2 linked regions of the Anolis sagrei genome follow. The protein of the gene in region 2 interacts with the protein of the main gene of each other region in a biochemical or structural test. Links are inferred from orthologs where the notes say so. Each region holds a gene or a part of one and is shown on either strand. Other genes may lie near its edges. The genes, in order: ATOX1 and ATP7B.

Region 1 (15,486 bases), on a different chromosome or scaffold from region 2:
AGTTAACTCCCTATGAGAAGTCACAAAGCAACACTTCTTTGTTTCAAAACCAAGCCAGTTCTGATTCAATGCATGTTAAATAAAAAGCCCCTGAGAACCAGCTCCTTGTTTGTGTATCTGTGTTACTAGAACAAATCTGGTGAGATGGATGACTAGCCAAGGTTCAAAGATTACTTGCTTGCATATATCTCAGAATGGACATGCATTTATGCACATGCCCACAAAGGACACTGGATAACAAGAGCATATATATATGGCTCAGAAAACATGTAGAATTTGTTTTCAAGGAGAGATGTGAACAATCTATTTAAACTCTAATGAGCTAAAGGTTCTTTTGTGTCAGTAACCATGTGGATGCGGTTGCACAATTCTTGCATCATGGACAGTGGACATATACCTTTTCCGTGTGCAGTAGGAATAGGACTGGTTATTGTGTGTATTATCCATCCAATACATATGGCCTTAAATTGACACATTGGTAGATATTTCTTAAAAGGTAAGCTTTTTAAGTGCTGAGTGCTGCCACCAAGCACAATTCAAAGTGCTGGCTTTAGCCTATAAAGCCCTAAACGGTTCTGGCCCAGCTTACCCCTCCAACATATGAACCATCTAGGAGATTAAGATCATCTGGGGAGGCCCTGCTCTCGGTCCCGCCTTCTTCATAGGCACAACTGATGGGGATGAGAGACAGGGCCTTCTCAGTGGTGGCTCCTCAGCTGTAGAACTCCCTCCCTAGGAATACTAGATCAGCCCCCTCCCTCCTGATCTTCCATAGAAAAGTGAAAATGTGGCTTTTTGAGCAAGCCTTTGGGAACCAGAATAAAATACAGCCTGCCCCGCCTCCTAGTTATCTGCTGGGGTTTAGTTCCAGGACTATCTATGAATACCAAAATCCATGAGTGCTCAAATCCCATTAAATGATGTCCTTTATATAAAATGGCAGAAACATGGTTTAATTTTGGGATTTAAAAATATGTTTAAGTCATGGATGGTTGAATCTATGGATACAGAGGGTTTACTGTACATGTGATTCTGAAACATTACAGAATTCCTAACATGGAAGGAATTTCTGTGTAGCTTGTTTTGAAGATCTTTCAAAGCCCTGCAACTGTTAGCCTAACAACATTTGGGCAAGTGATTTGTCACCTGATAAGTTAAGGACTACAGCATGCTCACCGCTTCCTGCAGAAACAATTGCAGTTATAGAGAGAACCATCAATAATGAGAAAAAAAAATACTGAACAAATTCTTATAATAGAGCAGAGGATATCTGCCTGTCATAAATGAAGTTTTCTCTATTTCACTATGACTTATGGGGTATAAAGTAAATACTGCTTGTCAAGAATCAATAATTAGTTACTGACTGGACTACTTGCATTAGGAGGAAAAACAGCAGTGATCAAGTTGTTTTAGCTACAGCAGAGAAAGAAGCAAAAACTGCACTGCAATCTTTTAAATTAGGGGTGAGGAATGTTACCAGACTGCAGCTGCCATCATCCATAGACAATACAGCCATGAGGGAAGCATGATGGATATTGCAGTCTAACAATAGCTGGAGAAACAGAATTTCCCAACCCTCTTTTAAATTTGAGCAGGCTATATATATAGGATATGCAAGCAAAACATCATACAACCTGGAAAACACCCACAGTTCTAGACAAATACAATTTACAATGCAAGAGGATAGCTGTCTACTTATCTTTATTTAAGGTTGATGCAATATTTGGTGAAGGATTCAAAGTGCAGTGACCTGCCCTTTCAGCAATAGGATTTTGGATGCCTTACCCTGTACCAACAGGTATTTTTAAAGTACAATACCAAAAAGATGCAAGAGGTCAGGCACTAGTACCACTTACCTCCCAGCTTGTTGAGAACCCGGGTGACAGCATTGGAGCATCCTTCACAGGTCATGTCTACGAAGAACTCATGTTTCTGAAAACATGAGAGGAAATATTGGAGAGGCCATTGAAACAGATCCTTTGGGCAACAGTACAAATTATGAAATAAAGACAAGCCAGTAGGCAAAACTCTACCCCCCACCCCTTGATATGATGGAACTATAAACTTCTCCTTCTCCATCCACTGTTTGTGCAGGGTGAGTTCTGCACCAATGTGCATGAAAGGTACCATGTTGGGAAATGTTTGCTGCAGGACAATATCCAATGTGGCTTTGGATCCCACAATCATAATCTTTGCAAAAAAACCCAAAAAACCCCCCTTCAGATTCTTGATTATGGCCCCTTCCACACAGATTAATAAAATCCCACATTCTCTGCTTTGAACTGGAATATATTGCAGTGTGGACTCAGATATCCCAGTTCAAAGCAGTTATTGTGGGATTTTCTGCCTTGATATTCTGGGTTATATTGCTGTGTGGTAGGGCCCCTATGTCTCCCCCCAAACAGTGCTGCAGAGCCAGCATGGTGTTGTGGTTTGGATATTGAACTAGGGCTCCAGAAGACCAGGGTTTGAAACCTTGCACAACCATGGAAACCCACTGTGTGACGTTGTGCAAGTCACACTACTTAAGGACCCTTCCACACAGGCCTATATACCAGAATATCAAGGCAGAAAATCCCACCATATTTGCTTTGAACTGGGTTATCTGAGTCCACACTCAGATAATGTGGGATTTTCTGCCTTGATATTCTGGGATATACGGCTATGTGGAAGGGCCCTAAGATGAAGACAATTACAAACCTTGGGAATAAATCTTATCAAGAAAACACTACAAGCGGATGTCCATAGGTTGGAATCACATAACAAGAATCACATTGGTTTCAAAAGAAAAATGTTTTAACAATGTATCACTGGCCAAAACAACATAGTTTGCAGAAGACACCAAATTGGGAGGGATAGCCAATACTCCAGAGGACAGGAGCAGGATTCAAAATGATCTTGACAGATTATAGAGATGGGCCGAAACTAACAAAATGAAGTTCAACAGTGACAAATGCAAGATACTCAACTTTGGCAGGAAAAACGAAATGCAAAGATACAGAATGGGGGACACCTGGCTCGAGAGCAGTACGTGTGAAAAAGATCTTGGAGTCCTCGTGGACAACAAGTTAAACATGAGCCAACAATGTGATGTGGCGGCAAAAAAAGCCAATGGGATTTTGGCCTGCATCAATAGGAGCATAGTGTCTAGATCTAGGGAAGTCATGCTACCCCTCTGTTCTGCTTTGGTTAGACCACACCTGGAATATTGTGTCCAATTCTGGGCACCACAATTCAAGAGAGATATTGACAAGCGGGAATGTGTCCAGAGGAGAGCGACTAAAATGATAAAAGGTCTGGAGAACAAGCCCTATGAGGAGCGGCTAAAGGAGCTGGGCATGTTTAGCCTGAAGAAGAGAAGGCTGAGAGGGGATATGATAGCCATGTATAAATATGTGAGAGGAAGCCACAGAGAGGAGGGAGCAAGCTTGTTTTCTGCTTCCCTGGAGACTAGGACGCGGAACAATGGCTTCAAACTACAAGAGAGGAGATTCCATCTGAACATGAGGAAGAACTTCCTGACTGTGAGAGCCGTTCAGCAGTGGAACTCTCTGCCCCGGAGTGTGGTGGAGGCTCCTTCTTTGGAAGCTTTTAAACAGAGGCTGGATGGCCATCTGTCAGGGGTGATTTGAATGCAATATTCCTGCTTCTTGGCAGGGGGTTGGACTGGATGGCCCATGAGGTCTCTTCCAACTCTTTGATTCTATGATTCTATGATTCTATTCTATGATTCTATATGATAGATGGTGTATTGCCCAAATTTCATTGGTTCTTCTTACTTTTCCTAAACATGACTGTGTAACAATATTTCAGATAAATTAGAGCATTTCTGATCACTTCTTTCTGTTTTTGCTTTCTATTTCACTTTTGCTTTCTTTTCTGTGTTTCCTTAAATCTTATTCCAGGTACACAAAGCAGAATTTTAAAAATAAATACATAAAATTGGACATGTTCTCAAAAAACCACCTGGCTACAAAATCTGTTTCAGAAAAAAATGCAGTATCTGAACCAGTGTCTGTAATGATGACCTGCTTATTTATATCTCCCTAGTCTTACCTCCACTAACACTTGATCTCAAGTAATTTTCACCACCATCTATTAACTAGGAAAAATCTACATTAGAAAGGTTAGTAATACTTTTGTCTTTTCCCTGTGTGAACCATGAATCACTCAGAGATTAATAAGACGTGGCAAATTCTGGATCCTTCCTAAATGGACCAATCCCAAGTGAGCTGTGTGTTGCTGTGCACTGTTGCTACAGCTTACAGAACAGCATGGGAATAAAAAGTCAGTCTTTGAATGACTAACCGGTTTTTCTTGGTACCACTAAAGACGCAATTTACAGAAGCGAAGCTGGAAATTGGCCTGGTATCCAAGCCAGACATTCAAATATGTGTTGTGGTTGGTGGAGTCAGAAATGGACATAAGGCCTCATGATGCAGAAATGTCAGCCTCCAGCCACCTTTCAAAAGGTCTAGTTCACCTCCAGTTTCAAGGCCAGCCCAAGACATTTCGTTGCTTGAGAACAAGACAGGGCTGGGTCGCTGTGAGTTTTCTGGGCTGTATGGCCATGTTCCAGAAGCATTCTTTCCTGACTTTTCACCCACATTCATGGCAGGCATCCTGAGAGGTTGTGAGGTCTGTTGGAAACTAGGCAAGGGAACTCTTGTCTGCTTGATGCATGACAAGAAGATAGGGCTTCTTCTCACTCTGCTAAGTTTTACCAGATTTTGCAAAAGTTTTTTTTTTTTTACTTCAGCTCCCAGAATCTCCCAGCCAGTATGGCCAATGGGACCTGCAGTCATGGCTGGGAGAATCTGAGTGTTGTAAGTCAACAACCCTGACTCTTACAGCAACACTGGTGATAGGGCAACATCGGACACTGCATTTGAGGGCAGCTGGCTAACTTAGGGAACACAGAAGAACTTGTTTGCTAACTATACATTAACATATAGTGCTTGAGGCAGCTGCTTCACCCTGCCTATTAGTGAGGCCAGATATGTCTAGCTTCTCTAGATGATGGTGGAGGGAGGAGAGAAATGATCAATCTTTGCATTAAGCAGTAGATGCCTCCTTACGTCTTTTTCCCCCTCTATTATTGCTCTTAAAGTCAACAGTCAAGTTCTGCAAGGGGCTCTTTTGTATTTTTTGTTCTAGAATGATAAAGGCATGTGCAAGATCTTATAGCACAGGCAAATCTTGCTCACACATGAACTCTTTTTGCCTAAAAGAAATACAGTAGAGTCTCACTTATCCAACCTTCGCTCATCCAACATTCTGTATTATCCAACACTATCTGACTCCCACCTGGATCCACAGTTGTTTCAATACACTGCAATGGGTTGGTGTTAAATTTGTAAATACAGTAATTACTACATAATGTTACCATGTATTGAACTGCTTTTTCTGTCAATTTGTTGTAAAAAAAGTTTTAGTGCTTAATTTGTAAAATCATAACGTAATTTGACGTTTAATAGGTTTTTCCTTAATCTTTCCTTATTAGCCAACATTTTTGCTTATCCAACATACTGCTGGCCGGTTTTATTGTATAAGCGAGACTTTACTGTATAGCACAGTAAGGGACCAATCCTTCGACTAATCACTGGGGCCAGAGCTTGGAGAAGTTACTTTTTTGGTTTTTTTTTGGATTCCTGCGTTCCTCCATCAGCTTGATTAACACTATTGTGGCTCGAGGAATCTGAGGTTGGGAGTCCAAAGACCCCTGATATTTCCCCAATGTTTACTGCATTTAGGCCCAGAAGGTCACTTGTGTGGGCAAACACCCTCGCTGGACTGTGGTCAGGCTTAAAGTTCATACAGCTTTTTAAGCCAGGCTACAGCTGTTTGTCTGACATAATCACTGTACTGCTGAAGTTACTTCTGAGAGATGTCTTGAAGCAAAACCTTTTATTTCTCAGGAAGGAACAAACTCTTTAACTGGCTTTGCCTTCACTGGATAGTTCTTCTGGGCCTCTGTGTGTGTGTGTGTGTGTGTGTGTGTGTGTGTGTGTGTCTTGCCAGGTCTTGAGTGATCCTCTTCATCTCTCAGGTTGCATTCAGGGGTTCCAAAAAGTCCACACAGAAGGAGACAACAAGGTCTTTGTGCACCTTAAGACATTTATCATGGCACAAACCTGACAAAGTGGGCACTGATCCACAAAAAACTAGGGCAGTATAAACATGTGAGTAACAGCCAACCATTCCCAAAACGACTTGAGCTGGCTTAATGCTGCAACTTAATCACACACACACACACACACACACACACAATATAAACCCAAAGCAAAACAAAATAATAAAACAGAAGTTAAGCTACAATTTTACAAAGGACAACTAAATACACCATTTGAACAGTCATCATTAAGGGTTTTAACAGTCATCAGGAATGGTTTTATCTTCACTATAGCGGAGCAAAACATCTCATTCCATATGCCAACAAGGGTGAGGCTCCTCTGCTTGTTGTTCCTGTGTGCGTTCCAGTTAGTGCTGACTTCTGATGACCCTAAAGCCATTATGGGGTTTCTGAGGCTGAGAGTGTGTGACTTGGCCAAGGTCACTCAATGGGTCTCGATGGCCAAGTGAGGAATCGAACCCTGGTCTCTGGAGTGGCACTCCAACACTGAAACTACTGCAACACGTTCTATATGAGTTGAATCAAAAGGGTTGCAAAACTTCTCTTCAAAACGTATGGGGTGAAATCCTAGAGAGCCTTTCTCAAACTATACAGCAGGCATGGGTAAACTTCGGCCCTCCAGGTGTTTTGGACTTCAACTCCCACAATTCCTAACAGCCTACCAATTGCCCATGCCTGCTATACATCATCCCTTTATCACATCCCTTGCAGATAGGATCTCCACTGAAACATTAGGGTGTTTGGTTGAGAACCATCTTAAACCAGTGGTTCTCAACCTGTGGGTCTCCAGGTGCTTTGGCCTACAACTCCCATAAATCCCAGCCAGTTTGCCAGCTGTTCGGATTTCTGGGAGTTGAAGGCCAAAACATCTGGGGACCCACAGGTTGAGAACCGCTGTCTTAGATCCATCTTGTGTAGTGAAAACATTCAACTGGATTGGCTTTGGGACTATATTTGAATTCTTCATTTTCCATATCAGCAGTCAGGCACTGTTATTAATAACAAGCCAATTTAACTGTCATGATTGAATGCTACAGAATCATAGAATTTGTAGTTTTGCAAGATCTATTAGAGTTCTCTGTCCACGAGTGCTGATGCCTCACCAAACTACAGCTCTTATGATTCCGTGGCACTAAGCCGTGGCAGTTAAGGTGCTGTCAAACTGCATTAATTCTGTAGTGTAGATGCATCCTGGGCCTGAGGATCTGATTTAGCAGATCTCGTTTTCTTTTGGGCAGGGAAGGGGAGGTTGTTGTAGCAATGATTGGGGGGGGGGGGAGTGGATCCCTTGCTCCATCCTTGGCTCCCCCGCTGTTGCCCTGACCCTTTTCCCGGCCCAAACCCAGCCCCTTGGAGCCGCCTTTGGAAGTCACCCACCGGCATGGCTGCTGCGGCTGCTTCCCTTCTGCCAGTCACCGGAACGGAGAAGCAGCCTCTTCCCCACCTTCCTCCGCAATAATGAAAGGCCAAGGAAGCCCCGCCCACCGCTGGCTAGCCACGCCCACTCCCCGCCTATTTCAGCCTTCGACCGCGGGAGGAGGGGGGGCTAAGAAGCGCCCTTCCTTCCTTGCGCCGCCAGGGGGAGCCATTCCGTTGGCAGGGAGTGACGCGCCACGCTATTCTCTCTGCACATGCTCAGAGGCGCGTGGGGAACATTGTACTTAAGGTGCATCGACATTTAGGACTAAACGCAGTTTGTCATCGCTTAACTGCCAGGACTTAATTGTAGGGCATCCTGGGAGTTGTCGTTTTGCATGGCCTTTCGCCTTCTCTGCCCAAGAGTGCTGGCGATTCACCAAACGACAAATCTTAAGATTCTACAGCAATTCAAGTGGTTTTTTAAAAATTGTATCAGAAGCGACTTGAGAAACTGCAAGTCGCTTCTGGTGTGAGAGAATTAACGTTGGCCAGTGGATGCCCGGATATGTTACCATCCTGTAGGAGACTTCTCTCATGTCCCCGTATGGGATAGCTGGAGCTGACAGATAGGAGCTCACTCTACACCCTGGCCTGGATGCTTTACCATTCTGTGGGAGGCTTCTCTCATGTCCCCGCATGGGAAGCTGGATCTGACAGATAGGAGCTCACTCTACACCCTGGCCTGGATGCTTTACCATTCTGTGGGAGGCTTCTCTCATGTCCTCGCATGGGAAGCTGGATCTGACAGATAGGAGCTCACTCTACACCCTGGCCTGGATGCTTTACCATTCTGTGGGAGGCTTCTCTCATGTCCCTGCATGGGAAGCTGGATCTGACAGATAGGAGCTCACTCTACACCCTGGCCTGGATGCTTTACCATATCCCCGCATGGGAAGCTGGATCTGACAGATGAGAGCTCACTCTACACCCTAGTTTGGATGTTTTACCATCCTGTGGGAGGCTTCTCTCACGTCCCCGCATGGGAAGCTGGAGCTGATGGACGGGAGCTCTTCCTGTTGCGTGAATTTGAACCTCCAACCTTCAGGTCAGCAGTCCTGCTGGCACAAGGGTTTAACCCATTGCAGCACTACGGCTCCTAATTCAGGTAGCGTCAAACTGCATTATTCTACAGTGTAGATACACTCTCAAGATACACTTGGGAGCAGTTGTGCTGCTGCACCTCTTGAGGACTAGAATCCTAGAGTTAGAAGAGACCTCATGGGCCATCTAGTCCAACCCCATTCTGCTAAGATGCAGAAAAATCGCATTCAAAGGACCCCAGACAGATGGCCCTCCAGCCTGTTTAAAAGCCTCCAAAGAAGGAGCCTCCACCACACTCGGGGGCAGGGAGTTCCACTGCTGAACAGCTCTCACAGGACGTTCTTCCTCATGTTCAGGTGGAATCTCCTTTTTTGTAGTCTGAAGCCAGGTTGTAAATGTGTATGGCTTGGGAAGAGGGGGAAAAATGGGTGAGATGAAAGCCAGTTTTAAAATGTATGCTGCACTAATATTATATAATAAAATACTGTAATATTGTATAATTAATATGGTATTCTTAAAAACTAGATAGGTCTGGCCTCTTAAAGTCAGAAAGGACTGTGCAGGTGGAAAAGAGAGCAGATAAATGAATAATGGAATCCAACTAATCAATTCTCTTCTTCTCTCATTGTAATAGAACCCAGAGCTTGGATATTTTTTAATGTAATGGCAAGTGGTGGTTGTAAGATATTGGGGGGGGGGGTGGTGGTCCATTCTGAAATGGGTGTGTGAGAGACACCCCTGTCACACAGCATTGCCAGGTGAAATGGAGGGCCGGGCTATCCCTTTGGTGGGGATTTCAGCTTGCCCCACAACAGTAACAAGCTTCCATATAAGGGCTGTGAGGCACTTAAACTGGTTGCGTGGCGGGACTTTTTATTTATTTATCTCACCAAAAATGTAAAAAGGTCAGGAAGGGTCCGGCTACCAGCCTGTGCAAAGATGCCACCAAAGAATAAAAGGTTGTTTGATTTTTCTACCACCTTTTGTGTCTTCTTAAATTGGTGGTGAGAGATTGAGGATGCTTGCCATAGATGCAGGCGAAACGTCAGGAGAAATGCCTCTAGAACATGGCTCTATAGCCCGAAAAAACCCACAAGAACCTAGATTGAGAGAGACTTTGCTTAAAAGGAAACAGTTTTATTTGTATCGTTCTTGTGACAAAAGCGTGCTGGTTTCAAAAGTATAAATGCTTATTGGTTACAAAACAGAGTTTCAACATGACTTTCCTTTAAGCCTTTCCTCTTTTCCAAAAGAACTTTTATATTAACATATGAAAACTGACTTCTAATAATCTTTTGCCTGGCATAGAGATCCTGACCACTTGGTCCTTTAAAACCTCTCTACTGTCATTAGCTTCCTGCTACCAGTCAACCACTTTAGCTTTTCCCTAGCTAGTTTTCCAGCTGCTTTCAGCAAACTACCTCACTGACTCCCGCTAACTGACTAACAACTTCACTGACTTCAGCTAACTAACCAACTGACCCTTTTCAACCTACTTTGTAATTATACATTTTGTTACAAGGGCCCTTCCAGACATGCGTTATATCCCAAATTTTCTGTTTAACCCAGATTATCTGGCATTATGGACTTGTATCCAGTTTAAAGCAGAAAACCTGGGATCAGATCCTGGGATATAGGGCCTGTCTGGAAGGGCCCTATGGGAGGAAGCAAATTGGTGCTTCTTTTAGGTTTACATGGGATGGACTAAGCTTGTGGCACTACTCAGATAAAAAGGATGGTTCCTTTTTGGATAAGAGTCAAGTTAAAGTACTCACATTGACCTGTGGACAAGTCAACCCAGATAGGTAGTCCCCAGGTTCTGTCAATTTGTTCTCAAGTTGAATTTGTATGTAAGTTGAAACAGGTACATTTTTAAGTGTAACTTCAGTCATATATACCTTAACTTATGTCTGTCTGTATCATCAAGTCACCATGGAGCCCCCCCGGTGGCGCAGTGGGTTAAACCCCTGTGCCGGCAGGACTGAAGATCGACAGTCGCAGGTTCGAATCCGGGGAGAGGCGGATGAGCTCCCTTTATCAGCTCCAGCTCGTCATGCGGGGACATGAGAGAAGCCTCCCACAAGGATGATAAAACATCAAATCATCCGGGCGTCCCCTGGGCAACGTCCTTGCAGACGGCCAATTCTCTCACGCCAGGAGTCACTCCTGACACGACCAAAAAAAAAAAAAATCAAGTCACCGTCCTGTTAGTTCTTCCTAAACTGTCTTATATGGCAGGCTGTGAACTTTCTCCCCGGTGTGTCAGAGACTGGTACCATATTCATTATAATGATTCTACAACAGGCATGAGCAAACTTCAGACCTCCAGGTGTTTTGGACTTCAACTCCCATAATTCCTAACAGCCTCTTCCTGTCTTTCCTGGAGAGCTGAAGTTTGCCCATGCCTGTTCTACAAACATCCCACACTTTTTGACAACTCAGTTTTGGATGTTCTGCTGTTTTGACCCACCTAAATTATAGCCTTGTGCAACACGTTTGGCCCCTAGTCTACTCTTCCAACCACTTCTGCTGCATTATTGGTGCATTGGTTTTATTTCTCTCTCCATTGACTTATCGCCACCTAGTGTTTAATCTTTTATTTGCTAGCTAAAATTCCTTGTAGTTCCACTTTTCAACCAATTCCATTTTCTGTCAGCGACCTGGTCCTTAATTCATCAGATAAGCAGAGCCATAATTTCCTGGAAACTCACTACAAATCATCAGCAGATGATTCATGGACTAGCACTGGTCATATCTGAGTAGTGTTGCCTTAGGACACTTAGTTAAAAGTTACAATCTACAAATGGTTTGGTTATTTATTTATTGTATCAGGAGCGAGCAAAGGGTACTGTTGTAATGTATTAAAAATGCACACAAACACACTCAAAGTTTAAAAACTTGGCATTATATTAGACATGAGAGGGGGACATGAGAGGAGCCTCCCTGCAGGATTGCAAGACATCCGGGTGTCCCCCAGGCAACTTCTACGGAGACAGCTGATTCTCTCACACCAGCAGCGACCAAAAGTGACTTGCAGCAATGGCTTGATGAGAGCATTTCATCGATCAGCTGTCCTTAAGCTGGAGTCCTGAATCTGGCCCAGCATTAGGTAGATTGAGACATCCAGCTTGCTTCCTTGATTTTGGGTGATGATGAAAAGGTAAGCAAATTCTTCCTTTTAAATGCATAATTACAGTTTTTAAGTGTTTTACTTCCAAAGAGCATTTTTGTGATTTTCTGCCTTGGATGCCACAGTAGTGTGATACTATGAATCTCCCCAGGGAAGCAAATTGTGTTGAGGTGGCCCTGGCTTATTTACCTAGGCATATGATCCGCTGAACACACTGGGAATTATTTCTGAGAAGACATACTGGTACATAAGATCAAAGCATTAAGCTCAATTTGAAATATACCTAATGGAGCATAAGGCTTGGTTAACAGAAAAGAACATACTTCCCATATACGCATATCTGTTGAACAGATATAGTTGAACAGGTTTAGTTGGATTTATTTATTGTATGTGTTAGGATGTGGATTGCAGTCAGGGCATTTCAGGTCTTAGATGTGGGAAAAAGGATAAAATTTATAGAAAAATCCACGGACCCTGGAATGGGAAGGGAGCTTGATCCTACCCTCCAAACTAGGCTGAATTCTCTAAAATGATCTGGCAGATTTGGGTTACCACCGCTACTAGGTAGTTCAGAAATTATCAATCAGAGGTTTACTGAATATTCAAGCACTGAGAAATGGGTTTTTAAAGGAATAATGAGACTACCTTCAATCTATCTTGTGCATGTTTACTTAGGAATAAACTCCACCAAATGCATGGATGGCACTTTTAAGTACCCCTTGTGCTTGCCGGAGTCTTTATATTTCAGGATGCTTGAATTTTATTGTGTGTGTGTGTGTGTGTGTGTGTGTGTCAGGAGCGACTTGAGAAACTGCAAGCTGCTTCTGATGTGAGAGAATTGGTCATCTGCCAGGGCATTGCCCAGGGGATGCCCGGGTGTTTGATGTTTTAACATCCTTGTGGCAGGCTTCTCTTATGTCCCTGCATGGGGAGCTGGAGTTGACAGAGGGAGCTCAACTCACTTTCCCCAGATTTGAACCGCTGACCTGTTGGTCAGCACTCCTGCCGGTACAAGGGTTTAACCCACTACACTACCAGGGACTCCTCCAGATGCTTAATGATAAAGGAAGAGTAATTTTTCTCTGTCTCTAAATACAAAGTTCAAATTGGTTATGAATCTCTAAATAGCTTTGGACCAGGTTATGGTGAGGGTCTCAGTGCAGGAGCCACTGTACCCCACAGCATTGTGAAGTTTACTTGCTGAAAGTATAGAGGAGGGATGTCTCTGTTGCGGCACCCACCAGGCTAAATGATCTTTCCGTTGGATAATGTCTCTGTGGGGTGCTTCCTATATAGAGTATTTTAATCACCAGCTGAAGATTTCTTCATCCATTTCCAGAGAGATAGCTATGTTAGTTTGTTTTAGTATAAAAAGGAGGAGTCTAGTGGCACCTTTTAAGGCTAGCTAATAAGCTTTTCTAGATTCCATTTTTTTTTTTGGATTCTCCAGCCCAACAATATTGGGAGGGAGTTAGTAAAAGCATATGATAAAATAAACTAGTTTGTCTTGAAGTTTTCTGCATCCTGTGCTTTGCCAGGTGTTTATTTTTCTGATCACTAACCTTGCTAGTTACCCAGGCATGTAGCCGGGGGGGGGGGGGTGGGGGGGGGGGGGGGGCTCGGGGGGCTTCAGCCCCCCCCCCAATTCTGATGGTGGTTCACGAAAAGTCCTTACTGCTGCATTATTTAAACTGTTATGTTTATTCATATCATGATCTGATCACCCTATTCAATATATCCCATATGCATGGGGGTATTGGTGTAATGATTGTATGTTAGGTTTGCTAGGCTAGACCCTCTTTCACTCAGACTCAGCCCCCACCCGAAACCCCCCCTGAAAAAAATTCAGCCTCCCCCCCCCCCCCCCCCCGAAACGAAATCCTGCTACAGGCCTGTAGTTACCCCAATGACTTCAATGAACTATTTTATTGGTTTATTGTTCTATGGATGCTCATTGTTTTATTGCATAGTTTTATTGTATGTTATGATTTCAGGCACTGTAATATTGCAGAGTGCTTTGGCATATTTGAAATGAAAACCAGCATAGAAATCTCTTCATACATTTCATACGCACATTGGGCAGCATATTGCCTTTTACAGAAGTCTAACAGACATACCATGCACCTTGACCCTATTCATTTTATAAAGATATCACACTGATTTTGATAAATTTCATTCTCAGATAACTAAATTCAGTGTAGACTTGCTTCTGATTAAATTTGTAAGGACTGGGTGACTTAGCTGAAATCCTGAAAATGGCTTAGAGTAGATATCTTTTACACACCGTATAGGATTGATTTCTGAATAAAGGTGTGTCTAGCTATGCAAGTGAAATATCTTCAGTCATTTATCTCATTCTCAGAAGAAGAAAAAACCCCTTACATGTTTAAGTTCATATGAAGCTGTATAGTATTCAAGGAAGTGAGTAAAGACCAATCAAATCATGACATTGTCTTACTGGCAATAGGAAGCCATTGGCTTCAACTAGCAGGGCTCTGGTGCCTTTAAGAGTTGTTCAGCAGGCTCCTATTCAACAAATGTGACTTTCACCATCAGTGCATGAGAATATATCAAGAAATTTCTGCCTTTCGTACAATTAGTAAAGTCCCTTGAGCACTTGCCATTAACAAGGCAAATTTAACCAGTTTACATCCCTTTCACATATGATTTCACATCTCGGGCATATATGTTTTTTTTCATTGAACAATGGTATCTTATAAATTTTCACATGTGGTTTTGTTGTTATGTGTTTTCAAATTGACTCTAGCTTATAGTGATAGTGTCTTAGAGAAAGATAGTCAGAGTGAGATGTGCCATTGCCTTCCACTGAGGCTGAGAGAGTGTGACTTGCTCAAGGTCACCCAGTGGGTTTCCATTGTTGTGTGAGGATTTGAAGCCCGCTCTCACAGAATCCTAGTCCAACACTCAAACCCATACAGTATGAAAAAGTCGCATATAGCTGTATTTTTGCTACAAGCTTTTTGTTACTCTCAAACATGCCTAACATGCACATTTGATTTAAGGTGTTATTGGCAGGACCACTTCTACCATTGGACAAATTGGGATTACAGTCTCAGCTGTCTGGATTGAGGTATCAATGAAAGGACAACTGATTGCAATTTTTTATTGCTTTTGTGTGACGTGTGGGGCATTTTCTGTGCTAGAGTTACATGACTAGTTCTGTGTAATACTATGCTCCTTGAGAGGTAGGGAAGGATTAAGAGGTGTCATTTCTGATTCCTCCTCAGGAACAAAAGTTCTTGGGATAGTCTTGGTTGTTGGCAGCTGTGGTGAATCAGCAGAATTAATCCTGAGGTTAAAAGTAAGATAGTTATGTAGCCCTTTCTGAATGTAACAGTAATATGTTTGCAGAGCTGGTCAGTTCGTGTGTAGCTTAATGATCAAGAATCACAGGAAGATAGAGTTGAGTGTATTAAAATTAATAGTTAACATCTGGACAACCAACAGAGCAGGTGTGGTAAGATGTCTTGTATTTATATTTAAATTGAAGTGTTCCTTTCTAAAATTATAATTAGCATATAGAAGTCTGCCTGTCCTGCTCTTGCCTTTTTGTGTGTGTGGCAATGTCTTAATTTCTGAAAAGACAAACAAAAACATCCTGGATTGAAGTGGGAATTGTGGAGTCTTCCAGATGTTGCTGAATTAACAATTCTCAGCATTCTCAGCATTGGCCATGCTAGCCAGGGCTGCTGGGAATTGTAGTCCAACCACATCTGGAGATCAGAACAGTTCTCACCCTTGT
Region 2 (15,388 bases):
TAAACTTATACAAACCCAGTTTCTCCTCTTACATGGTCAGCGTTCGCTAACTCATAGATCTAGTTTTATGTTCTACTTCATCAATCCTGTTGGTCTTACTCGCTGATTGTCTAATTTAATTGCCAGAGTGCCCAAAGGCCTGGTCCCATAACCACGTCTTCACCCTCCTCCTAAAGGCGAGGAGGGATGATGATGCCCTGATTTCCCCCGGGAGTGAGTTCCACAGGTGAGGGGCCATCACTGAGAAAGCCCTGCTCCTCGTCCCCACCAGCCTCACTTGTGACAGTGGTGGGGTCGAGAGCAGGGCCTCCCCAGATGATCTCAGACTCCGGGGCGGGACATAGAGGGAGATACGTTCAGACAGATACACTGAACCGGAACCGTATAGGGTTTTGTAGGTCAAAACCAGCACCTTGAATTGTGCTCGGAACTGAATCGGCAGCCAGTGGAGCTGGCACAGCAGGGGGGGGGGTGGGCTCCCTGTATGTCGCTCCGGTGAGCAGTCTAGCCACCGCTCGCTGGACAAGTTGAAGTTTCCGAACAGTCTTCAAGGGCAACCCCACGTAGAGAGCGTTGCAGTAGTCTATTCGGGATGTAACAAGAGCGTGGACCACCGTGGCCAGATCAGACTTCCCACCGTGGCGAGATCAGACTTCACCGCTGAGACCTGGGGTTCCAGGCTCAGCGATGAGTCCAGGTTCTGAAATCATAGAGACACGAGCTTCTCTTGATGGATAAAAGATCATGAAAAATGAGAGATAACTGCCAGAGAGAGACTGAGGATTCGTGAAATCTGTGAGAGGCTATAGCAGGGTATGCCTACACATCAGTATAGTGCTCAACATGCAGCAAAATTTGCTGCATTTTGCTTTTTGAACCCCCGCCCCCAAATATAGTGTGGGTTCAAATTGTGGATGGAGGATCTATGGATACAGAGGACCAACTGTGCTGTTTTGTCAGATTTTCACCCTTTGTTTTGCTTTTAAAACTTTAGAAAAAGGAGAAAAAAATTCCGCATCCACTGACTTGTTTACATGTGCTTATTGGTTCTTAGTTGACTGGTTTTAATGGCTATCGGTACTCGTACTTCTAGCTGGAGTCAATCCAGGAGGAAAAGAGGTTACTCTCATATTAGTTCTAAAGCAAAAGGAAATACAGCAAATGCACTTGTTTGAAACTTCAGACAACCAATGTTTCGTTTTATTTGTTCAATGTGTTAGTTGGTCAAAGGACAGATGTGGGCAAACAGGGAGCTTGAGTGAGGCTGCTTATGTAGAGCAAAGAAAACATGCTGTTTAGTCACTTGTGCTTCCTGGACAAAATGTATGCAGCCTATTTCATGCAATAAAGCTTTTTATAAGCAGAAAATAGATTAATTGGGCACAAGTACATTCCTATGACTGTCATGTGGCCTTTAATTCCTGGTTGCGTGGTCATTGCCTTTTGGCTTTTGCTCATGGTATGCACAAAGCACAACGCTGGAACTATAGGAGGATGAAGACTTAGCTCCCAAAATGCATAGAATTGTACTGGACAAAAGAAGCTTGAAATTATTAACGTACACAGTAAGTGTAAATATTTATAGGCTGAGCTGGGTAGATGTCTTATAAAGTTCACAGAGCATGTATTTCCTGGTATATTGAATAAGATGTGTTTACAATCCTGTGTGTGAGTTTTACAATCTCTTTAAAAGCTTGTGGGATTTATTTCTCAGTAAATAAGCAAAGGTTTGGATTGTAAATCTTGGTTGAGAAGATAATAGAGGTATGGCACCAGTGCTGAAAAATGGCCAGCGTATTGAGGCTACAGATAGAAAATTTTAAAACCAAGGTAACAGATATTTCATAACGTAAAAAAATGTAACAAAATGTATGTTTTAAATAAGTGCCTTATTAGATTGGGTCAAAGGGAATAGAAAGAAATGTGACCATTTTGCACTGTTTACTCGGTTATATTCTGCCTTTGAGAATCATCCTGGTATAGTGGTTTCAGCACTGGACTATAAGTCTGAGAATCAGAAGCATTGGACTATAAGTCTGGATCCCCGCTTGGCCATGGACACCCACTGGATGGTTGATCTTGGGTGAGTCACGCACTCTCAGCCCTAGAAATCCCTAAAATCAATTTGGCACAAAATAAAAAGAACAATGGCAACTTCTGTCTTTCCTCCAAAAGCTTCTTTCAGTACTGATGAAATTATACAACTTGTCCATTCTTGTAAATGACTCTGTGAGGCAGTTTAGGTTGCAATACATAGTATGGCTCACTCAAAGTAAATTCCTAAACTTCATTGCTGAATGAGATATGAACCCAGGTCTCCTTAATTAGACATTATTGCTGAGTGTGTAAATACCTCACCAATATCTCTTAAATGTGTACTTGTACAATAAAATAGCATGACATTGGATATTAGGAAGGGGCAGAGTGCAGCTCTCCTCTGCAAGCATGGAAACATGAATGAATGTGAATAAAAGTTGCTAGAATGAGGCGTGATGGCCAAGATGGTTGCAAATGTTCCAGAATATTTTTTTCTGATCTGGGTTATTTCTGCATGCGTTTTCCTATAAGTACATCATATCCTCTTTCAACAAATTCACCCGGTCAAACGCAAAGGTCCTATCAATGCCAGCAAAGCATGAAGTTCAAATGATCTGCTTTTGCAAGTGATGTACAACTTATCCATTCTTGTCAGTGTGATGTATTTTCTTGAGTGCTGGACTACAACTCTAGAGACCAACTATGCTTGGACATGGACCCCCCCCCCCCCCCCCGCAGTTTACATATCACTCCAAGAACTGTACTGTAAAGGCAGAACTGTAGATCCACCCTGTTTCAGAAGACATTAAATAAGCCATCCCGAGTCCTTCCGGGGAGATGGAGGCGGGGTATTTCTCAGGAAAAATGGTCCGCCGAGTTGTGCGTGTGTAAGGGCCCTTCCAGACAGGCTCTATATCTCAGGATCTGATCCCAGGATTCTGTTAATACCTGATCATCTGGTAGTGGGGACTCATATAATCCAGTTGAAGGCAGAAAACCTGGGATAACCTCACCACCTCTGAGAATGCTTGCCATAGATGCAGGCGAAACATCAGGAGAGAATGCCTCTAGAACATGGCCATATAGCCCGAAAAAAACTACAACAACCCTGAGATAATCTCCTGGGACATAGGGCCTTCCTGGAAGGGCCCTGAGACAATGCCACATGTCTCTGGCTGGAGTCTTGTATGTGTCCTTATCTTGGAGAAAGCCATATGGAGCTCTGTGTCGCTTAGGCCTGAGGGACACTATCATTTGGAGCTTGGGAGCAAGTCTGACTGCCCCTTCACTGGTACTGAGAGGAAATAGTGCTTGCCAGTGCTTCCTGTACTAATTTGTCTTCCTCTCAATCTCTTTTGCAGATACATACCGATTCCAACCCAATTCTAATAGACACATTTATTTTTAAAAGCTGGATTTTTCTAAAACTGTAGAGTAAAAAGTGATTTTTTAAAGGCATTAAAACCTGAAAGAAGCACTTTAACTGTGAAAACGGTTCTACATTGTGTGTTCAAGTTGGGTATGATTTTATTTGTTAGTGTGGGTCTGATCTAAGAGTGTGGCTCTCCAAGTATTGGACTGAAAGTACTGATATGTGTCACTATTAACTGTGCTGTTTGAGGAACTGAATGCAAGCAACAACTGAAAGGCTATAGTTTGTCTACTCCTTTCTTTAAGCATAGGTCTCATACTGTACTTGCCAGAGTATGATGTTGAATTGTGAACCCTGTTTAAACTTCCTGCCGGGAAGAGTGTCTACGCACCCAGTGGGAAAGTTTGTTTGCTGGTAGGAGTTTCAACATGTGTACATAGAATGAACTCTATCCTAGAATAATTTGAATTTGCACTGAGTAACACAGACTTGGTGTTGCTGTCTCCTAAATGCTAGACCAGGATGCCAACTAAAGTGCAATTTATTTATTCATACTTGAAAGTGAAGATGTTAATTCAATCGTAATTGTGCTCCCAGAACAGAAGTTCCAAGTTTCAAGATCATACATGAATAGCATTTGTCCATGGTCAGCAAGATCTATGTGAATATATTGCAGAACGTTTTGAACAATCTGTTTGTGTATGTGCGTCTATACAAGTGCCTTCAAATCATCTGTTGATTTATGGTGACCACATGAAATTTCATATGGTTTTCTTAGGCAAGGAATATTCAGAGGTGGCTTTGCCATTTCCTTCCCCGAAAATATAGCCTACAGCACCTGGTATTCATTCGATACACTGCTGGAATTGTGAACTGGACACAAGCAGAGCTGGATGATCTGGACAGAAAAACAAGAACACTTATGACAATTCACTACGCATTATACCCACGTAGTGATGTCGACAGACTTTACCTGCCCATAAAATCAGGAGGCAGAGGACTTCTGCAAGTGAAACAAATGGTAGAAGAAGAGAAACATGCAGTGGCAGATTATGTGAAAGGCAGTCAAGAACCAACATTGATGGAAGTCAATAGTAGTAAACTGCTTCAAGTGCAAAAGACAAAAAGTGTAAAAACACAATCCAGAGCAGAAGAGAAAACTGGCAAAAGAAGGCTCTCCGTGGACAGTTCCTGGGAAAAATTGAGAGCCAAATTGACAAAGAAAAAATATGGTTGTGGCTCACAAATGGGACTTCGAAAAAGGAGCCGGAGAGCCTGATTCTGGCAGCCCAAGAACAAGCCATTAGAACAAATGCCATCAAAGCCAGAATTGAAAAGTCGACAACAGATCCCAAGTGTAGACTCTGCAATGAAGCAGATGAAACAATAGATCACATCCTCAGCTGCTGCAAGAAGATCACGCAGACAAACTACAAGCAGAGGCACAACACCGTTGCTCAGATGATTCATTGGAACTTGTGCCACAAATACCATCTGACAAAGAACTGGTGGGATCACAAGCCGGAAAGAGTTACAGAGAATGAACACGTCAAGCTACTCTGGGACTTCCGAATTCAGACTGACAGAGTTTTGGAACACAATACTCCTGACCTCACAATCATGTTAAAAAAACGAAGTATAGATTGTCGATGTTGCAATCCCAGGCAACAGCAGGATTAATGAGAAACAACTGGAAAAGCTGACACTATATGAAGATTTAAAGATCGAACTGCGGAGAATGTGGCACAAACCAGTAAAGGTGGTCCCAGTGGTGATTGGCACACTTGGTGCAGTGCCTAAAGACCTTGGCCTGCACTTAAACACAATCGGCGCTGACAAGATTACCATCTGCCAGCTGCAAAAGGCCACCTTACTGGGATCTGCACGCATTATTCGCTGATACATCACACAGTCCTAGACACTTGGGAAGTGTCCAAAGTGTGAGGTCAGGAGTATCCAACTGCCAGCAGAATGTCTGCTGTGGACTCATCTTGCTGTGTTTCAAATAATAATAATAATAATAATTATTATTATTATTATTATTTATATTCCACCCTATCTTCCCAAGGGGACTCAGGGCAGATCACAGTGCACATACGTGGCAAACATTCAATGCCGTTTGGACAGATGGGCCAGAACAGATAAAAAAGCGGTATGTTGTGTTGACGTCCAGCTTTAAAGTATTTAAGTTTCTAAACTTACAGATGTGTATTTTATGTACTGACCCATAGAATCAATTTGATTTAACTCCCATATGCTTAGGTTTAGCCGTAGTCCTGGGAGGATTTAAGACCCATGCATTGTTCACTTATTCTGCCTTCATTTTCTAAAATGGGGAAGGTGGATGTTGGTTGTTTCTCCAGATGTTTTGGATTCATTTCCCAAAACTCCCACCCAATGTGATCAAAGAAAAGGGATTATGGAATTTTTGGTCCCAAAGCACCAAGCAATGCAAAATTTCCATGCAGCTATAAACCGCTTCTGTGTTTTTGTTGGTTGCTTTTGGCCTTGAAATGTCCAAAGGAACATGGGCATGTCACTTGATCATTTCATGATTCTCTAAACCAGAGGTACAGATGTGTAAGCCTTTATAGATATGCTTACACCGCAACTCCCATTTCCCCTTTTGCAAATGATGGAGTTGTAGTCTAGGAACATTGTAGTCCAAGAACACCCTGTGGTGCCCAACCAGTGAATGGTAAAATGGCAAGACCAAAATGAATACCAACCCGCTCTCCCCAGATTCAAACCTCTGATCTGTCAGTCTTCAGTCCTGCTGGCACATTGCGTCACCGGGGGCTCCTGTTGTTTGTAGTTGACTTGACGCCATTTAGTATGATGATATCCGAAGCTCAGGGAAATCCTCCAAACTGGACGAATGAATAAGAATAATGGCAGATGAGGATTGGTGTAATCAAATATACAGTTCTGAGTTGGGGGGGGGGGGGGAATAAACCTGCTCGACAAGTCTAGCGTAGGTACTTCCTTTGTTAGGAGAAATAGCCAAGTACCGTTGATATATTACTGTGGACAGTGAGTCCCCCTCTACATTGCCATATAATCCAGATTATCAAAGCAGATAATCTGGATTTTGCATGGCAGTGTAGAAGGGGCCTGCATAGCTAGCCACTTGTTTTTTAATAGAAGATTGTTGGTAGGGGAAACTGTTTGTGGATTTTTTTTTTAGAAATAAGAAATGTAATAACGTAATATTTTGTGATTATGGTTATTAGTAATTTTAGTAGGACTATTTAGCTATATCTGTAATGGTAGAGAAATACATTTTTTCTTTATTGAATTTTGATGGCTGGGACAAAGATAGTTCATTTTATAGGGAGAGTTGAAGGGGAAAAAAACATTTCCCTGTTTCCACTGACTTTTCCTTCTCCACACTTCCCATTTCATAAACAAGGGTTGTTTCTACAACAGCAACATTGGGGGCGGGGGGGGGGGGGGGGGATAACAGGAAAACTAGGGGAAATAGTTGACTCCTTCAATTAAACAAAGTTTTTTCTAAATATTTTGTGGTTGGTTTCATGGTTGATTAACTATGTGGTTGTAGAACCTGTGGATAAGGGGAACCAACAGTATATGTATACATGCTCCCCCCTCCCCCCCACACACCTTTTGTCCTTGTTGTTTCTTTTCTTCTTTTTTTCTTCTTTTCCCCCCTGAATATTTTTATTTGGTGGCGGTTTGGACTCTGTCCCTTCCTCTGATAATGGGTGAGGAAAGTTATCAAGGAATCCTCAGAGAACGGGTAAAGTTTTACCTTCCCTTCAGCACCATATGTTGTAATCTAGGGCAGGGCTTATTAAACTTTTTCCACTTGTGGCCCCTTTCTATCTGAGGGCCCTTCCACACAGCCATAGAATGCAGAAGACCAAGGCAGAAAATCCCACAATATCTGCTTTGAATTGGGTTATCTGAGTCCACACTGCCATATATTTCAGTTCAAAATAGAAAATGTGATTTTATTCAGTTGTGTGGAAGGGGCTTGATACATTTTTACATAACCCCAGGTAAATAGGTATGCAAAATAAGGCTTGTGTAACAGGCTGATTTCCTGTTTTGTGGAGTACAGCTAAAGTCCATTGTAAATAGCTACTGTTGTTGCTGACAGATTTGTGTAAATGGATAGCGTTCAGAAACCTTTTACTGTTGCCACATTTCCGTGACCCCACAATTTAAGAAATAGTGGTCTAAGAAACGTGGAAAAAAGAGCGGCAGGTCAAAGACAGATAAGTTTGGGATTATGTAACTGTTATGGAAGACCTTTGAGCTATTTGAAGTCTGAGAAGGGGATTGGCTGGTTTTTTGGAAAATATTCAACTGCGTGTTATCATCATGTTTAGTCTGTAGTTTTGTAAATAAACACTAATTCAGTACCCTTCCAAAGGAAGCCAGTGTGGGTAGGCAGCACTGCCTGCCAGTTAATGCCTTACAACTTGGTGGATTGGGATGTAAGACATTAACTGGGGAATGGAGATGGGTATAGCAATGCAGTGATTAACTTGAAGTCAGCTAGAACCGTACAAAAAAAGAGACCACAAGGGAATAATCTGTCCCAAAGTAGGAAGGAAAGTTAATTGAACTGCTGAGGCAGTGAAAAGGGCCACTTTGGCAACCCGAGTGTCTGCTCGTAGTGAGCCTATTAATGAAGTACATATTTAAGAGTTTAGTGAAAACCAGCCACTTTGGATGGGCAGCAGGACTGCCTGCTTGGTAAAGTAAATTAACATATATTAAGCGGAAATGTGCCTTGGACCGCGAGAAGATCCAAGCAGTCCATACTTCAGGAAATAAAGCCCGACTGCTCATTGGAGGGAAGGATATTAGAGGCAAGGATAAAATACTTTGGCCACATCATGAGAAGACAGGAAAGCTTGGAGAAGATAATGATGCTGGGAAAAAAGGAAGAGGGGCCAACCAAGGGCAAGATGGATGGATGGCATTCTTGAAGTGACTGGCTTGACCTTGAAGGAGCTGGGGGTGGTGACGGCCGACAGGGAGCTCCGGCATGGGCTGGTCCACGAAGTCACAAAGAGTCGGAAATGACTGAACGAATGAACAACAACAATTCTTTGGTACTACTTTGAAAAAGGCCTTGTTTGTTTTTGGATCTCAGGTCATATCACTCAGGGCCCTTCCACATAGCCCTATAACCCAGAAGATCCAGGCAGAAAACCCCACAATACCTGCTTTGAACTGAGTTATCTGAGTTCACATCGCCATCTTACTTTACCTACTCGTTGTCCAAGTAGGATAGTCTTCCAAGATTGGTGTCCTGGCAGTGGATCCGTAGGTGACTGTGGAGCCCTATTCTTGATCTGCATCAAGAATAGGGCTTGATCTGCATCATTGGTTTCCAGACGGAAAGGGGTCCCGGTTGGGGTTCGCTTGACATGACTTCCTCTTGGCACGTTTCTCTCTTTCACCCTCCATTCGTGCCTCTTCAATTTCTACAGCACTGCTGGTCACAGCTGACCTCCAGGGCCGACCAAGGGCAAGATGGATGGATGGCATCCTTGACTGGATTGACCTTGAAGGAGCTGGGAGTGGCGACGGCCGACAGGGATCTCTGGCATGGGCTGGTCCATGAGGTCATAAAGAGTCAGAAGCGACTGGACAAATGAACGGCAACAAATATTAAAAAGTACAGACACCCTCTCTGATTTTCCATCTGACAACGCACTTTGGGTTCAGATGACTCCTGGAGTAGGAATGGCTAATGCAAAGGAAGAGAAAGCCAAACATGCTTAAAATAGTTGGGCTGGACAGGTAATTGTGTTTATAAAGTGACTTCACCTGAGGAGCTAACACTTCAGCCAATCCCCTCTGGCTTTTAGTGTCTGTTCTTCTCAGTTTCTGCAGCCTGTGAGACTTTGAAAGAGCTACGCAGCATGCATAATGCCCTCCGCATGCTTAAGTAATGTGTGCTTCTAAACAAGTATAATTAAATTACAATTTGTAAAGCAGATTCCTCCGCGATTGAAGCAGGATGAAAGCTTGGCTGCTGAAGTTAATTATACACCGAGGTTGCTTCATGCAGGCCATATTTGACAAGTTTGTGAAAGGCAGCCTTGACTGAGGACACCGCAGAGCTGTGTGCAAAGATTAAAGGAGTTAGATGGGGTTTCTCATTGAGCACAAGGCTAACAATTGGTGGGAAATACCTAAACCTGTTTGCAAACATAGCCAACTGCAACAGGAGGAGGTAGGGAGGAGTCAGTTCAACTATACGAACCATACAGCTTCCTTTAGGCTGGAGTAGAAATCATTGCAGGCTCTGGAGAAATCGATGCAGGCGGTCCCAACTCGGGAGCCCCCCTTTTAAAATAAAACTGGCACCATAAGGATGGAAAAGAAAAAAGAGAGGCCTACGAGAAAAAGCCAGTCCTCGCTGGCAACATCTCAACATAAAAATATTACTCTGGTGCATTTCTCTGAGGAATTGCCTGCTAGAAAGCCATCCAGGTTGGAAGATGGTGAATATGATAACCTGAAAACAAATGGTTTGTTTCAGAAAGAGAAGGATGTTTCTGGTAATGTCTTGCCAGGAGAACCGGACATCATCGTCAGACAGGTCAGTTTAAATGGGATGGAGGAATACACATTAAATGTTTTGGCACATTTGTCCTCTGCTCCTTGTTTGGGTCTTGGTGACTGTGAGGATTGGAGCCTTATACTTTTTTACTTGGAAATGGGCGCCATTGAACTCAATGGTATTTACTTCTGAGATGGTGCATGGAAAAAAAAATACAGCAATGTCCGTGGAAGCAGTGAAAATGGAAATACTAATTACCAGTTTGTGAGATTCCTTAAACCAACCTTTTTTTGACCAGGGACAGCTTGACCAGGGGCCCCACTCCAACATTAGTACCAAAGGGTTATGAATCAGTTTTTGGTCAACTTTGGTTTGGTTATTTGGGGTTCTGATTCAGAAAATTGCATTGGATAGACCATGTCATCTTAGTTTCTGATACAGAACATATCCCATCCAGTAGACGCCATCTGCTCACCCCAGAAAACTGTATTTAATAATCTAGAGTTGATGTGGTAGCAGGAATCTTTTGTAGTCAGCCTCTCCCCTCCAGACATCCCTGTTTCCATATTTAATGATTTAAAGCATCAATATAGTCATTAAGTGACTTGCTCTGATAGCTACCATCTGGTATTGGTTTGTGAGCAATGTGAAAATGGTGACTTACGGCGACCCCATTGATTTCATAACATTTTCTTGTCAACTAACACTCAGAAGTGGTTTTGCTAGTTCAGTAGGAGAATGGGAAATCAGTTATTGCTTGGAAAACCAAACATCATTATAGGTAAACCTGTTACTGGAAAATGATAGTAACTATAGTTCTTAATAATGCAAAAAGTTGCAGCAGTTGCTTCTTGTCTTTAGGTTTATGGATAAATTAAACATATTTTGGAGTACATATCAAAGAGTTATTTCATCCGTTTCTTTTTGTTTATCATATAAATATGGATATTTTCTATATAAATTGTCTCAAAGAAAATTGAAACTCCTTTTAGCTGTAATGACAGGATCTGAATAAGATAAAATAGTGCCGCTGCCACCTCCAATCTGGAAGTCTCTGAAACTCTACTTCTGATTTTGAAAAACAGGGTTTTAATAATTTTAAACTGTTCAGGAGAACCCTGGAAGAAATTATCTTCCGGTTTTGGAGGGTTTGGGAAGCACGGAGGGGAGGTCATGGGTTGAAAATAAGACTTATGGGCACACGAGGCTGCAAAATCATATTTTCCAATACGTTTTGCTAAGATACATCTAGTTGCTGAAATTCTGAAAAGCATATCATTATTTTGTCTTGTAGCTCAACAGTTCCTGTCCATTTTGTTTTTCAACATTTAAACCCAACATCAAAGTCTTTTAAGATGAGAAAGACTGGAGTGGGAGAATTCATTTAGAAGCAAAGTAGAGAAGGCAGTAACAATTTTTTCAGAGGCCTATTAGGGTATATGTTATTGAAATTATGAGCATAGTTGATCCTTTCGGTCTACTTAGGACTGCTTGCCTTCTTGTAAAATACATCATTGGTATCTCTCGGTATAATGCCTTTTTATGAACATGAAAATACTCTGAATACTTTTGTTGTTAACAACCATCAAGATGACGTTGACTTCTGGCTCTCTATGACAGAGAGACCGCCAAATCATCCTGTCCTCACCATCCCTGCTCAGGTCTTGGAGATTCAGGGCAGGCATAACTTCCTTGGTTGAATCTATCCACCTGGAACGCAGTGCTCCTCTTTTCCTATTGCCTAATATTTTACCAAGCATCATTGTTTTTCTCTCTCTAGTGAATCATGTATTCTCATGATATGTCCAAAGTACATCAGCCTCAGTTTATGGCCTCATCAGTTGGGCAGGGGTAAAGCGGGGGATATCGTGGGGCAGCAAAGGGAACTGTCAAACTGTGTTCCCTCCTGTTGAGGTCCATCCTCTGCCTCCCCATGACATTTCTTTATCTGTCCCCGCTTCCTTTTCGGCTCCTCTTCCTTCAGTGAGTAGTCGGGTCTTCAACCGACTCCTCTAGGCTCTGCTTCCTCAATGCTGCCGGCAAGTAGCCCCCACAGGGCCCCACCAGAAGTAGCCCTGTATCATGTGATGGGCTGCTGGAGACTATGTTCCGGCAGCACAGAGAAGTAGGGAGAAGATGCTTCTCTCGCTGCATCTGATGAGGTCCTAGGCTATCTTAGCTTCTAGGGCAGTGGTTCTCAACCTGTGGGTCCCCTGGTGATTTGGCCTACAACTACCAGAAATCCCAACCAGTTTACCACCTGTTACAATTTCTGGAAGTTGAAGGCCAAAATATCAGGGGACCCACAGGTTCTAGGGAGTGTTCAGGATTGATTTGCTCTGGGATTCATTTATTTGTCTTTTTGGCAATTCAGGTATTTGTATGTCTCTCCTCAGGCCCCACATGTCAAACGGCTGCATTCACAATTTTTGTATCTACAGATGAGTGTACAAAAGGTGAGGCACAAATGTGGGAAAGGGAAGAGGAACATATTTCTTGGAACCTCATGGTTTCCCCAAATACTTGAATAGTTAATCCTACAGTACATAGTGTGTATGTATTGTGTTTGTCCTCTATGCCAACCAGTAGACCAATGGCTGAATTAGGGCTTTTGTTCAGCTTTCTTTACCAATGCTCATGCGTTTAACAAGTTTGCATTTAAGGAGAGTTAACATTCAGTTTCACAAACATGTTTATTCTTCCCCCTCCAGTGTCGCACAAAGGAAAACCAGGGCAAAGGAGCACAGGTCTAAGGAGCTGTAATTCAGAAGGGGACTTGCCAAGAAAAATCAATTTTAACTGTCAATGCTTTTTCTTAATCTGCTCTTTATAAGTGTTTATTCATTTTAGTTTCCCCAATGAACAATTTGGAGTTACAAAGCCCAGGAAATTCTAGTTAAGAGCTTTCTGGGAGAGAAACGATCAGACACATCGTCCTGGTTTGGTAGATCAGGCGTACTAGTGTGCAGTGTATTTGTGTTACAGTGCAAAGAATCCTAGAGTTGGAAGAGACCTCGTGGGCCATCCAGTCCAACCCCCTGCCAAGAAGCAGGAAAATTGCATTCAAAGCACCCCCGACAGATGGCCATCCAGCCTCTGTTTAAAAGCCTCCAAAGCAGTGGTTCTCAACCTGTGGGTCCCCAGATGTTTTGGCCTTCAACTCCCAGAAATCCTAATAGCTAGTAAACTGGGTGGTATTTCTGGGAGTTGTAGGCCAAAATACCTGGGAACCCACAGCTTGAGAACCACTGCTCCAGAGATACCTTTGCTCTGCACAATACTATAATATCCTTTCAAAACAAGCACATTGTTTTCTCTTTTCTTTTCAGGCTGTATCATCATCAGCAATGAAGCAGAAGTTTGCCTTTGACAATGTTAGCTTTGAGGATGACTTGGAGCATTCACCCGTTCTTCTACCCCAAGTGAACACTGTTACTGTTGATATCTTGGGTATCACTTGCCAAGCCTGTGTACAATCGATAGAGGGGAAAATTTCCAAGGTGAAAGGAATTGTTGACATCAAGGTGTCTCTTGAGCAAAGGAATGCTGTCATAAAATACTTGGGACTGGAAATAAGTCCCCATCAGATCTGCCAGGAAATCAACGATATGGGATTTGATGCCAGTATTGTAGATACAACACAGTCTTCAGAACAAACGTCTCAGGAAACTTTGGTTAAGATGAAAATAGAAGGTATGACCTGTGAATCTTGTGTTAATGCCATTGAAGAAAAGATTGGGAAACTCCATGGTGTGAAGAAAATAAAAGTGGCTCTCAGCAGCCAGGAAGCCACCATCACTTATTGTCCACTTGTAATCAGCCTTGAGGAACTAAAGGATAGCATAGATAACTTGGGATATAAAAGCACTGTCAAGCATAAGCAACCCTCCTTCAATCTTGGCTCGATTGACGTTGAACGCTTACAACAGACAGATGTAAGGACACCTGCTGGGCTTGATGGCACAAGCGCTATGTCAGAAGACACCGCCACCACAGCTTGTGTTGCAGTGCTGGGTGTGGAAGGGATGCACTGCAAATCCTGTGTCAACATAATTGAAAGTTCAATCTCAGACATGCTTGGGGTACAACGTATTAAAGTGTCCTTGGAACAGAAAAATGCCACAGTGTGGTTTGACCAGGACGTGGTCACTCTATCCTCGTTGCAGCACGCCATCCAAGCTCTTCCCCCTGGTAACTTTAAAGTATCCTTTTCTAGTGCGATAGAAGGTGACAATGGACGACTTACCTCAAAGACAACATCCTCTTTGCCTTATGTCTCTAGAAGTCCTCAGGATGAATCCGGTATAGCTATTATTAAGGTTGATGGCATGACTTGCAATTCTTGTGTAAAATCCATTGAAGGCTCCATATCCCAAAGGAAAGGGATCCTCCATATCTCCGTATCTCTAACCAAAGGGACTGCAACTATCTCCTACAATCCGATCATGACCAATTCTGAAGAGCTGAGAGCTGCTATAGAAGACATGGGATTTGATGCCGTTGTCCTCTCAGGTATGATGACACTTTTCTTCTGTCATGGTGTCTTGTGACTGAGAAGGATCTCATCACCTCCATCAACAGTACTAGAAATGGATCTGAAAACTATACAGCTTACTTGCTTACTTGTTTACATTAGCTGTCCCTTTCTGTTTGTACTTTTTGCTGTTATCATATTCTCCTAGTATAGAAACAAAATAGGGATGCCATAGCCTTGGAATGGTTCAAGTTTGGTTTGGAATGGAGAGGTCCCCATGTATCCCAAGAATGAACAAAAATTGACCCAGGGCTATAAGCAGCCTCAAAGCTGGTTTCCCCCGTCCTTTGGGGGGGGGGGGGGGTGAACTTCCAGGAAAGGCTATTATGGCTTCCCTTACCAAAATTCTTTTTTTCATACCAGAAATTCCAGTCTCTTCCAGACACTTCTGGATTTTTCTTGTTTGTTTTCTTGTTTGTGGGATGTGCAGTGATTTGGGGTAGCCTGTGTGTCCTTCTGAGGCTTCCAAGCTTAGAAATTTAGCTCCTGGACCTACCATCTGGATTTACCCCTTACTTGAAACCTTGCAATATGTTGTTCTGGGCTGGAGAATTTGGCCAGGGTTGCTTAAGATGAAGTAAACAGGAGATCAAAAACATCTGGTAGACCAGATGTTGGCTAGTCCTATAATAATGTAGTCTAAGATCTTGGGCTTGGTCTATTATCTCTGAGTGATCATAGAATCATAGAAAAACAGAATTGGAAGAGACTGCATGGATCATTTAGTCCAGCCCCCTGCCATACAGAAAAGCACAATCAAAGTAACCTGACAATGTGTTGTCAAAGGCTTTCATGACTGGAATCACTGACTCTTCTTTTAGATTTTTTTTTTTTTTTGTAATTTGTTCAGTATTTGCTATCAATTTGCAGTATGTGCAAACTATAAATCTAAGAAAGT

Evidence for each region.
Region 1: the proteins of ATP7B (region 2) and ATOX1 form a complex in vitro, tested with the Homo sapiens proteins (3 studies listed by BioGRID and IntAct). The link is inferred for Anolis sagrei from reciprocal best matches to the Homo sapiens genes ATP7B and ATOX1.

Annotation. Positions count from the first base shown.
Region 1 is NC_090022.1:84,267,525-84,283,010, reverse strand, and holds the start of ATOX1 (copper transport protein ATOX1), read right to left. Parts: upstream 7,632-15,486; 5' UTR 7,517-7,631; coding exon 7,511-7,516; intron 1,933-7,510; coding exon 1,857-1,932; intron 1-1,856. UniProt on the Homo sapiens protein: Binds and deliver cytosolic copper to the copper ATPase proteins. May be important in cellular antioxidant defense.
Region 2 is NC_090021.1:139,736,154-139,751,541, reverse strand, and holds the start of ATP7B (copper-transporting ATPase 2), read left to right. Parts: upstream 1-9,515; 5' UTR 9,516-9,767; coding exon 9,768-9,995; intron 9,996-13,285; coding exon 13,286-14,468; intron 14,469-15,388. UniProt on the Homo sapiens protein: Copper ion transmembrane transporter involved in the export of copper out of the cells. It is involved in copper homeostasis in the liver, where it ensures the efflux of copper from hepatocytes into the bile in response to copper overload.